2 linked regions of the Neodiprion lecontei genome follow. The protein of the gene in region 1 interacts with the protein of each later gene in a pairwise test. Links are inferred from orthologs where the notes say so. Each region holds a gene or a part of one and is shown on either strand. Other genes may lie near its edges. The genes, in order: glutaredoxin 3 and anamorsin homolog.

Region 1 (8,149 bases):
ACGACTTTTACTCACGCTTGCGGCGTTTCGTCATTTTATGCACCGTTTACTGCACAAATTATTTTCATACTGTTTCTTAGAGATTTTCATCACTGCAACAAAGGAAAATACTCGAAAAAAATCCATCACGACAGGTTTTTGCTTGAACTCGTGTTTGTGGTTTCATTCGGAGTGAAATTCCCGTTTGAACTCGAAATCCGGTATACTGTTCTTGATTATAAAAATCCTACACAAAAGTGATTTCTTATTTTTATTTTCATGCGTATCAGAGTGAGATTCAAGAATAAATACAATCAGGGAAACAGAAAATGAAACGCGGAAACGTGTTCGGAGAAGGACCAAAGAGAAGAAGAAAAGGTTTCATTAGGCAAAAAGAATGAACACGGAATGTTAATATATTTCATGAAAAATATAGTTCAGTTCATTGTGATGAAATATTGGTTTTTTCATTATTTTTATGCTTTTTTTTTATGCAAACATCTTGTATTTTGCAAAAATACCGTACGTGGTGGAGGAAAATGAAACTTATTCTTGGATTCAGCACGCTCGAAAACAGAATATTCACCAAAAACATCCTATGCAGCTGAGATAAAATATTTTTTTGCAGACCTGTGCTGTAGATTCAAAAATCAAAAATCTCCCCTAGCCTCAAAGACCTTTGTCTGATAGATCCTGAAGAATGTCTTAAGATTGGCTCCGAACATGAGAAGTTATAGTAAAATATGTATACATTTTGAAAATTTGATTTGCCTGTTAATCGAATTCAAAGGTCATCCAGTGTCACGATGCAATGTTTGAACCGAAGGTTTCATTACTTCAAACAAAAACGAAATTTCCAAATTTTTATGATCCCCACGGTGACTTGGTGATTTTTTCGAGTATTCTGTTCCTATTTTATAGTAATTGATTGTATTCATTGCCAACCCATTACTTGGATTCATTCTATTCCCTTCTGGCTTGAATCATTTGCATTGAAATTAACTTGAAAAATAAATCAATATTTCGATTTTCACCGAACCATTTGTAGGGACAATTATATGAACGTAATGATGTGTCAGACGGCAGCTCGCCGTTTTATATTTTCAGTTGCGTTCAGCTTAAGATTACGAACTCCGGATGAACTAGTCATGAATTTATATTGGATAATGTGAAATTCGCACCGAATTTATTCAAAATTCGATGGTACTTTAACTACTCTCTCTGTGAATCTAGTGTTACTGTATTTTTTCTGAAAGGTGCACTTGATATTTTATCGTATTTGACTTCAAATTGTTGCGCTGAAATTTGGCCCCAATACCGAACAAGTAGGAGAGTGATTTAAATGAACGAACACATGAATCTTGAGATCCTATATATCGTCATTAAAATATGTACAATGTAATATACTTTTAATTTTTTTAAGGTTCGATTTAGTACTCGGTTTTTTAATTTTGGGACTTTCCATGCATGCGCGACGCGATTGCGCCTGTTTATGTGCAACCCGAACCATTTCACCAATTGCCTACATGCAGGCGGAAATATTGCCCGCGGTTCATCTTCGCTTGCAAACATTTTTACATTACTGTGAGAAAGCCAAAAGACGTATAAGCGTTTGTTTTCACCTAGAAAAGATTTTTCAGCCAGTTAAAATAACGATATCCAAGCCAAAAGAGCTATCAGCGACAATTGTTGGTCTGAAAAATGTCACAAAGACCATTTTTAACCTAAAAGACGTCAAATGCAACGGGATATCTCGTTTTATAGATCTTTTCAGAAGCCAAGGGACATCTTTTTCCAGCATTTGTTACTCCCAAAGCTCTTATTGAGATCATTGTCAACCTAAAAATACGGTTAAAAAAGTCTCTAGACTTCCTAAGAAGACTTTTGTCGCCGGTGTGGCCAGCCAAATGAAAAAAGGTTGCCTCATGGTTGATCATGGCCATGTCGGACATCTCGCTCGCACATTATCTCTAACCCGCTTTATCGCACAGCGTGGTACTAAAGCGAGTGAGACAGACGTAAAATTTTACTCCTGGCGGCGAAACGCCGAACTAGCCATCACAGCGCCTCGTGATGCGAGGATCTTGGCCACGGATCTTGGCCTTTGTGAGACCTTTGGCATCCATGGCCGCAGTATCCTGAGTCGCGTAGCGCGAGCCGGTTGGAAGAGTTAAATATTTATTTGCATAATCGCTGCTGTGCAGGTCTGAAGGGAAGGGTGACAGGATGGCTGTCACAAACTTGGCGACCGTCGACGAGTTCAACACGTACATCAAGTGAGTTCAATTACGGCAAGTGACTCGGGTATTTTTTTAAGGATTTTACAACCCTTGAAAAATCACGAGGTTGAAGTTAGCAACGTTATCGTAACGAAACATTGGGGGGGAAAATCACTGTATTTTAAGGAACTTGGTTTCCAAATATTCGTGTGTTTTCTTTTATCCCGATTTACCGGATTTCGTTCGTATCGTTAAATAACGGTTCTTGCCTCGTGAATCGTTACGATAACCTTACTGACTTCGATATGATGAAAAATCTTCATTCATCCAAACTATGCGATGGTAAGGCATATCCGCACTTTTGGATCCGAGCCAGGACTCTGTAACACTGTTGAAGAAATCTAGACTGCATTCTTTTGAATCGATTAGACGATGGTTAGTGCAACTAAGTGTCTAAAACAGTTTGGCTAATTTGCATACTGCAATGACTAGAATGTCTTGTTTTCAATGCTGACGTTTGCGCATAACCTCGAAAATTGATACTTGCAGCGTCGTACCTTCTGATAATTGAGTTATAATCTAGTCACTGGCTTATCGACCGGGTAAGAAAATGCAATGACTGGAAAAAAACTGATAAAATTTTCCCACGATATCAAGTTACCTACCCTCAGTCACCGATAACTTGAAATCGCACTAGAAGTTTTTCGGGTCATTGTATACTTAACGCGTTATATAGTTATATACATATACTATCTCTCGTGGAAAATAAATAACGGCTTCACTTCAAGAAGGTATTGACCTGTTTCAGTGTTTCTCAATCTGACCAAATGAAGCCGAATGTTTTACATCACTCAAACGTTTTAATGTGACATTTGAACTATAAACTTGTTTTCATAAAAATGGAAATGGGAAATAAAATGTAACGAAACTTGTTCCTTGGTACCCGAAGCTTTGTCATTCGGATTCTAATTTCCATAGCTCAATTGCCACGGGTATATCTTCTTTGAAATGTAAATACTTATCTATTTGAAGTTTTGTTCGCATTAAAAATGCCGAAAATCAAAGGAAAGAGAAAAATTTAAAAAAAAACCATCGATTATTAACAACCAAATTCACAACTCTAAAAGTACCGGTGTCTGATGATTCGTAGAAATATGTTTATTTGTTGAAACTTCAAGTCACAATACAGAGATTTCGTCATTGCCATTGAAACAAAACAAATACATCCGTTTGAAAAAACCGAGTGTTTAAGAAAAGATACAGTTAAATAGATGCAAAAAATTCTTATCTCTGATGAGTTTGACTATATTGTTGAGGACCCTTGAAACAGGTCAATGTTTACGTCGATAATGAACTTTTGCAAGAATAAAAATTAAATGAAACATTGCCGAAGATAACCTTTAATGTAAAATGATATATATATATATATATATGTATATGTATATATATATACATAATACTTTTATAAATATATAATACACGATTACAGATATAGCATAGCAGATATTTTTTACAACTGCAACGTTTGTTTATATTTATTTTTTTAATCACCATTTTTAATCACCTTCGTTAACCAACGTCGTTTATTCACACCAGATCCAAAGATTTGACGGTGATCCACTTCTACGCGGCATGGGCGGCCCAATGCGCGCAAATAAACGATGTCCTCGAAGAAATGGGAAAGTCAGCCGACTACAAGGGTGTAAACTTTGCGAAGATAGCAGCGGAGGACGTTCCAGAGGTTTCTTTGAAGTTCGGCGTATCCGCCGTACCGACAATACTGCTGCTTAGGAACTCCGTCATTACCGACCGAGTAGACGGCGCGAACCCGGCTGAGTTGGCCACGAAAGTAAAGCAACAGATGTCGTCGAAGGATCCGGTGCCGATAGAAATTCCGAAACCGAAGGAGAACATCGAGGAGAGGCTGAAAAAACTCATAAACCATGCGCCCTGCATGCTTTTCATGAAGGGAAACCCGGCCAATCCACGGTGTGGATTCTCAAGGACGATAATCTCCATCTTGGACTCTTACAACGCCGATTATCAGACCTTCGACATTCTTCAAGACAACGACGTCAGGGAGGGCTTGAAGAAGTTCAGCAACTGGCCAACTTATCCACAGCTATATTTGAACGGCGAATTACTCGGCGGTTTGGATATTGTTAGAGAAATGGGCGAAGCCGGCGAACTTGAGGCTATGCTGCCCAAGAAAGTTAGTTTAGAAGAGAGGTGAGTTTAGAAGAGGTCGCATTTTTTCATTGTTGGATAAAAGGAGTTCAAGTTTTGAGCGCCAGTTTTCTTCCAAGTCTTCGATACTGTTGGAAACTTTTTAATAAAATTCCAGATTAACTCAATATTTTGAGATTTATTTATGGATAATAATTCGTTCCGTGTGACTAATTGTTGCAAAAACAGCGTAAATGAGACAGACCGGATAAAGGAAGTTCTCTTAACGAACACGCATAGTACATAAAATAAATGGATATTAAGAGGGGAAACCTTATACAAAGTTAGACGATAACAGGATAGTTAGATCATCTTCAACAGATACTACATTGTCAATGACAGAAATTTTTCTCAAAACAATTGTTCGTGGCTTGGAAAGTATTGACGGTAACTGTATTTTTTCTGTTCGCAATCGGCCACCGGATTGAAGTTAGTAACGTTAATCTAACGAAACAGTGAAACTAAAATCATGGTTTCGAAAGTTTAGAACAACTTTAAAGGAGTTTAATTTTCCAAGCTTGAGTAAACTTCGTTTTTTAAAAACTACTAAATCAAAGTTCCCGACTCATTGATATTGTGCCGGGCATAAAACTGTTCTTTTTTTTTTTTTTTTTTTTATCCCTTCCATTCGCTGATTTCTAATGTTTGACGCGAAGGTCGCGGAAATTGAATGTAAAGTTCTGTAAAGAAGAGCCCACGCACGAAACTGCGTGTAATTAAACGGAAGAGGGAAGGGTTTAGGAACTTTACGAGCGTATATATGACGCACCGCTGGAGCGCGACATGAGTTTTACGACTGTCGACTGTTCTTTTTTTTTTTCTCTCTCGATCAACTCGGTAGATAACGCCGAATTCATTATTTTACACCGGGGATCGTATCATTTCATCGACCTCGATTGTCATTGGTCGGTAGAATTCTACGGTGGCCTTTTCATTCTTACATCGCTTGGTTGGCAATTTGAAATTATAAATTATTTTTATCAGTTTTCCAAGCTCAACGCCAGGAAAGTTTTTCACGTATATATAACGTATACCTAACGATACTCGAATGATAGTTGCCCCATCATTTCACGCTGGCGCTCATTTTGAATTCAAATTCAAATATAAAATGTAAGCAAGATTTAGTAATTCGATTATGTAAATACGTATAGTGAAATATCAAATACTTATAATACTTATATATAGGCACACCTATTAATCTGCGCTCACTTTTATTCATCTGTTTCTCTTTCAGAAGTTGAAAAGGATTAACAGCGGTTCCTATATTTTCTTACATTATTAAGTTATTAGCTCATCCGTAGATATTACGAAATTAAGAGTCGAATGAAAAAAAAAAACCTGCATTTTTCATCCATTGTCGAATAACATTGTGAATAATAAAGAGGAAAAAAGAAAATAATGCCTCGGTGACGATACAAATCTAACGTCAAGTCCAAAGTTTTACTGCTGAATATTGAACAGAGCCTTGAGTCCGTATAGTCGACGAGAAGTATTTACCAAGAAACAAAAAAAATATATTCCCTCCCATTATCCTAATCTTCGTTCACGTAATTCTTAGAGTTCGAGAAGTCATCGCCAGGGGAAAGACAGTGATCGTCATGAAAGGAACCAAGGAGGAACCGAAGTGTGTTTACACGAAACAAATCATGGAGATCTTCGATGCGATAAAGTAAATTCAATCGATTGACATTCCCTTAATCACGATGGATAACAAACTGAACTTTCTCTCGGCAGTCGAATATCATCGGTACCGACGAATAGCACCGTAACATGTTCCATTCCGTTTTCGGCCTCTGACAATGAGTGAGACACTAACATTCATTAATGCCCTAACCTTTCGTCTAACTTGTTTTCGGTCAGAATAAAAATCCGAGCTCGATTCTATACGAATTTCGTGAAAATGACCGGCGATGTAGCTGACGTGAAAGAATCTGCCGCATCTACAGTCATTTTCACGACAGTCTTATAGAATCGAACTCGCATTTTCTTTCGGACCGAAAAAAAGTTAGACGAAGGGTTAAGACATCGATGAATATTACTGTGCATAATCATAGACTCGCGGCTCCATGAACGTGACAGCATAAAGTCGACTAATGTCACTCGTATTTGATGTCGTAACTCACGATGAAATGTAACAAATTCACTGCAGAAGAAGGTCAGCAACTTGCCGTAGGTTTTGCGCTCGGTAAAAGGACCCGAATCTGACATATCGGGACTGTATTTCGTATTCTGTCCTATTCGAGATGACGATCATGAATTCGAATTCGGACAACGTATTCCTGCTTTCGAAATTGGTATACGGATGTATCTTCATACTCTATGGTTCACACCTGCATCGGACAAAGCCACAAGGTTTAGCTGTATAATACACAATAGGGTGGTTTATTTATTAACTTTTTTTTTTTCAAGATGCCACGCGAAAAATTTGTGACAAATACTCGGAAAAAAAAAAAAAAAAAATGGCATGTAAAACGGGGAGGAAGTAGAAAAATATTTATAGGTCGTTACTAATTATTTTAATATTTTTTATTCGTTTTTATATGTACACCTTACGGACTTATATACATATGTATATTAGTTTATTTTTTTCTTATCGTGGTAGAATTAATCATTGTTTAAAAATATCAGTACCGAAAAAAAACAGGGACATTAAGGTGATGCGACGCACCTATTTCGGTGGCAACAACTGTTGTCCAAATTTCTCCGAGACGATTAATCGGACCAAGATGCAAAAAAATATAAACTAATACATATACAAGTCCGCAAGGTGTAGACATAAAAATAAATAAAACAATATTACAATAATTGGTAGCGACCTCTAAATATTTTATTACCTTCTCCAGATTTTACGACAACTTTTTGTTTCAGTATTTGGCACAAATTTTTCGAGTATCACATCAAGAAAAAAAAAGGAGAAAATTGTCCCAAAATGAATCATCCTAATACAAACGCCATCTGCAACCCTGCTGGATCAATGCCGTCACGCTAATTGTGCCACGCGTTGAGATTCCATTCCCTCAAGTGCTATTCGTCGAAAACCTGGATTGCGTAAAAAGTGTGATATTTTATTTGTTGGTAGAAAACAACAGTCATTCATAGTATACACCTAACTCTGCAAAAATTGTTGAGAGATATTTTTAGTTCCGGTTACCGCTCAGTCCTTGACTATTTTCATTTTTTACCACAATCGACAAAATATAGTTCTAGGTAGAAAATGAAAATTAGTTTTCTCGCCGTTACCGGAAAGTCCAGTATCCGTTACTATTCTTTCTCATTACCATCACTGTTAAATTGCAATTGTCAAATAAGCGATGCAGTTTAACCGAACATACAAACCCGATTACTCGTTGAAATCGATACGTCCGGTGACAATTCAAAGAAGTTACATATTTATATAGACTAAATAACAACGAAATCTATCTTTCACCACTCACAGCGTGCCTTACGAAACATTCGACATACTCATGGACGAAGAATTGCGAATCGCTTTGAAGTCCTATTACGACTGGCCCACTTATCCCCACGTTTACGTCGACGGAGAACTGATCGGCGGTTTTGAAACGGTTAAGGATCTATACGAAAGCGGCGAACTCATAGACACCTTGTACTCCGAAACGTTCAAGGGAAACCGGCGAGTCTTAAATTCTAAACTTTAAACCCAAACGAATATTCTCAAATCGTGCCTTTTGCAGAAATTGGTAATAAGGTTTTGGACGAGAGCGATT
Region 2 (4,154 bases), on another chromosome or scaffold:
TCCGGGAGGTTGAGAACCCGGTACTCGAAATACGTAGCGGAGCCGAAGCGCGGGATCCGGGAGGTTGAGAACCCGGTACTCGAAATTTGCGGAGCGCGACTCTCATCCGTCCGCTCTACTGCGCGGTTGGTACCGGACTGAGGAACTCGGCTAGCCGATTTTAGATTGGTGACGTCACTTTCCGAACATCCGAAAATTCAAACTTTGGTTTCGAACTGTAATACTAGGTATGATGATGTATGATGTACGATGTATGATGTATGATGTACGATGTATGATGTATGATGTATGATGGTATGATATGATGTACTATGAGTTTAGTTTTCACATTTCATACAAGAAATACGCACTTTGTCTTTCCTGCCGATTCCAGACTCAAGCGGCTAGGCTCTTCGATGATCAGCCGTTTATCCACGATATATTCTTCAGTTAACGGGTCAGCTAATAATAACGCTGCCGTTATGCGACAGTTGGATGATAAAAATTTTTGCTCGTACCTTTCAAAATAAGCTCGAAGTTTTAAGAAGCTTCGTTCTTTCTCTCCCTCTCAAAAAAAAATAAAAAAATCAATAACAGTCACCTTTTGAGGCCTTCAAATCTGGACACCGCGTTGAATACTGTCTCATATACGGAGCATCCATTTCATCTCGATCAAAATTAGCGCATCCGTGATGTATTACAGTTACTCTGAATTTTTTTCCATAAGAAAACTTTTCGAAAAAACATTCTGCTTCTCTTACCAACGTAGATACTTCACTTGCGACTAGCTAAAACAGCGTTTCGATTCTATGCCTACGAAAATTTAAGATCGAGAGAGCAAATGAAAAGTTGTTGGAATATTTATCAATATTAATGTTACGGAATACATCGAGTACGTGTCGAATAAATATATAATGTGTTCATATTATAGACGTATTGTTGTAGGTAACACAGTTTGTCTCCTGGAAAATTATAAAATTTACAGTATGCATCACGTATCAATTGCAAATGGATCATATATATTAATAACGTACATGGACCGCATATACATATATACTTTTTGGTCTCTGCATCATTATTACATCAGATCTATTATTATTTCTGATCTATGTATATGTTCGTTTCTCGGGTACCTGTACTTCGATTAAATCACTGTTCCGCTACGAATTTTGGAAGAAATTTATTCTCATTGTTAATTTCTTGTATCGCCGACAAGTCGGTAACGCTGCAAGTCGGTAAATACACACAGGCTAAGTAAATCCTAACCTGACAATTGATTATTGATCAAGTAATTACTATCTAATGTCGGAAATTCGATATCACAAACTTACAATCGCCAAAAAACGATGAAAATTTCGTTCAAAACCGGGAAGGAGTTTTGAAATGCGGCATCACATCGCGGTACGGAGACGCTGTCAACGGACGGATACACGATCGTGGAAACCACCGCGTTTGTTTGGAAAGCTCCCACAGCTCCAGGAGAAATTCACCAGATCTGAGGAAAAAGCGCGCAGTTTATTTTCCCATTCAGTTTTTTGGGCTTTCCAGCCAAATGGTGGACCACTAATCGTTCTTATCAAGTTTATCGTGATCGTCAAATGATTGCGCGTCGATTAAAGCTCCTGTCGAGTTTAACTGAAGTGAAAATTAAAAAAATCCGGCTAACCGAGCGCCTCGATTTGTTTATTTGATATAAATTGACTACCAAATGATTTGATTAGGCTACCAATCACCACCAATCGACTACCAAACGATTGGTATAGTCGAAATTGAAAAAAGTTTAAGTTGCTTGGCCAACTTTACGTCAAACCGACGACGTCCATGAAACAATAAAGTGTCCACACTCTGCGTTTTGCTGCCCATGAAATCTAGGCTTAACACGCAATCGAGTCGAAGCTCGAAGTCAGACGATAAACGTGTGCTTCTGTCAGTCATTGAGTACAGTGAGTGTTGTTCCAATCCATATTTAAATACATAAATCACGTTGTCATTCACTCTCGACCAGGTATACGGAGGAAGATGGAAAATTTTGTAACCGAAGGTAACAAGGTTTTAATAATATGGTGTCCTGGAACACCGCTTGAAGAATTGCAGGAGTTTGTTTCACAGACCAAATCTAAGGTTGGAAACTCTGGTAGCGTTTCACTGGAGAATTCGAATCAGATCATAAAATGTAAGTTTGAACAACTATTGCAGTGATGAAGTTCTCCAGTCTCATGATCATGAATTATTGTCGTTATAACCTTATTGCAGCAAATCACGACGCCTCTTCCGTCGACACAATTTTATCAGGATTTCTGCATCCAATTATCCATAATAATATCCTCCTCGCTGAGGCACTCCGCATTTTATCACCTGGTGGAAAGATTGTTATTCAGGAGCCGGTCGTAACGCAATCCGGTCATCAAAATCTCGGGACATGTGCGGAACTGATTTTAAGATTCAAACTAAATGGATTCCTCCTACAATCTCCAGACTGCAAAGCTTCCGCAGTCTCATTCGAACTTCGAAAAACTCTCTCTGAACAATATAACGTAGATGAGGTCAAAGTATGCCAAATTATAGGCAAGAAACCACAATTCGAGGCAAGTTTGTGACATGACAGATTTCTTCCATAGATATCGATTGCGTTATAAAATTTTGGAAATGTATGATTTATAATCTAACAAAGTTATTGCATATTTTCTATTGGCAGGTAGGTTCCTCGATGGCCCTTCCATTGGCTAAATCCGCTGTAAATGTATGGAAACTGGATGATGCGGTAGAGGAAGATTTAATAGATGAGGATACTCTTTTGGATGAAAGTGATATTCAAAAACCACAAGTAGCTTCCCTTAAGGGTAATTGAATTGCATATTGATTCACCCGGGTTGGCTTGAACCACAAAGAATCATCAAGAATTAACAACCTAAGGATTAGATCATAAAGAAAATATTCGTATTATTAAAAGCTAAATTAATTTGTATAATTTTATAAACTGCTGAATTCATTGCGTTTTTTTTAAATTTTAGTTTGCGCTACAACTGGGAAGCGGAAGGCATGTAAAGATTGCAGTTGTGGATTAGCCGAGGAATTATCGGGAGAAACTGTCACGCAGAAAGTGGAAAAATCTTCCTGTGGAAGCGTATGTGTATTTGTACATCTAATTACAGTAAAAGTATTTTTGCTTGTTCTTTCATAGGTCAAATTTTATTTCATTACATTATTTCAGTGTTATTTGGGAGATGCTTTCCGTTGTGCGAGCTGCCCGTATTTAGGAATGCCAGCTTTTAAGCCAGGAGAAAAAATCTTGCTGCCTAACAATTAATGCGGATCTTGTGTTAAACACCTATTAGTTGATTCTTAATGATGGAAGCCACATTTTACGGTCGAATTACAAACAAGATTTTCATTCCCTGTTTGATTAAAATAGACATATAGACGATATCTTAGAGATCAGATATAATTAAATTATTAATAAAATAGAAGGGTTGAAATGAAAAGAACCCCCCCCCCCTTAAAATAAACGACTGTACAATGGAGTTGTTCCAATATTACTACTATTATTATTATTATTATTGTTTTTTTGTTTGCTGATCTATCAAACATGTTAAGAGATGTAAAACACAAATACAAACAATTTGAACTCAAAATAAAAAATGAGAAAACCAGAGGGAATAATTGGCATTAATTCAGTGAAAAATTCAGAGGTAAAGTATCGCTCCAATGTCATATCAGATTCCCGCATTGTTTATTAACTTTCCTCATAAAATTTTTACATTCTGAAAACTGCGATTTTTCATTATAAAATTATTGAAGACGTCGCAAAAGTAATCAAAATTATTTCCATTAATTTTCTTAATATTTCATTTAAGAATCTGATAAATTATACATCAAATATTATTATCATCATGATTATTACTATCATTGTAGAGAAAAATTAAGGCAATTTTTATAATATCTAGTAACGAGTCATTTGATAAATTTTCATAGCTAAATATAAATTGTATGGTGAAAAAATGTTGAAATTTATATATGTATATAGAAACTATAGAAAAAGATGCAGTTTTATCTACTAAATTTCTTATCAACTACTTAACGAATCCTGTCGTTGTTAAGCTGGTTATTACCGATGGTATCCAATCTTCTGTAATATAAAAGATACGGTACTCTGGGCGGCAGCGGGTTCAACACAT

Evidence for each region.
Region 2: the proteins of glutaredoxin 3 (region 1) and anamorsin homolog interact in binary tests that used the Homo sapiens proteins (3 or more experiments, as listed by UniProt). The link is inferred for Neodiprion lecontei from reciprocal best matches to the Homo sapiens genes GLRX3 and CIAPIN1.

The regions. Positions count from the first base shown.
Region 1 is NC_060266.1:4,869,639-4,877,787, forward strand, and holds the start of glutaredoxin 3, read left to right. Parts: upstream 1-2,084; 5' UTR 2,085-2,205; coding exon 2,206-2,255; intron 2,256-3,794; coding exon 3,795-4,427; intron 4,428-5,982; coding exon 5,983-6,093; intron 6,094-7,860; coding exon 7,861-8,080; 3' UTR 8,081-8,149. UniProt on the Homo sapiens protein: Together with BOLA2, acts as a cytosolic iron-sulfur (Fe-S) cluster assembly factor that facilitates [2Fe-2S] cluster insertion into a subset of cytosolic proteins.
Region 2 is NC_060263.1:19,487,997-19,492,150, reverse strand, and holds anamorsin homolog, read left to right. Parts: upstream 1-1,871; 5' UTR 1,872-1,998; coding exon 1,999-2,152; intron 2,153-2,232; coding exon 2,233-2,564; intron 2,565-2,674; coding exon 2,675-2,819; intron 2,820-2,990; coding exon 2,991-3,103; intron 3,104-3,190; coding exon 3,191-3,286; 3' UTR 3,287-3,481; downstream 3,482-4,154. Other genes in the region: ubiquitin carboxyl-terminal hydrolase 10, read right to left, coding at 4,054-4,154. UniProt on the Homo sapiens protein: Component of the cytosolic iron-sulfur (Fe-S) protein assembly (CIA) machinery required for the maturation of extramitochondrial Fe-S proteins.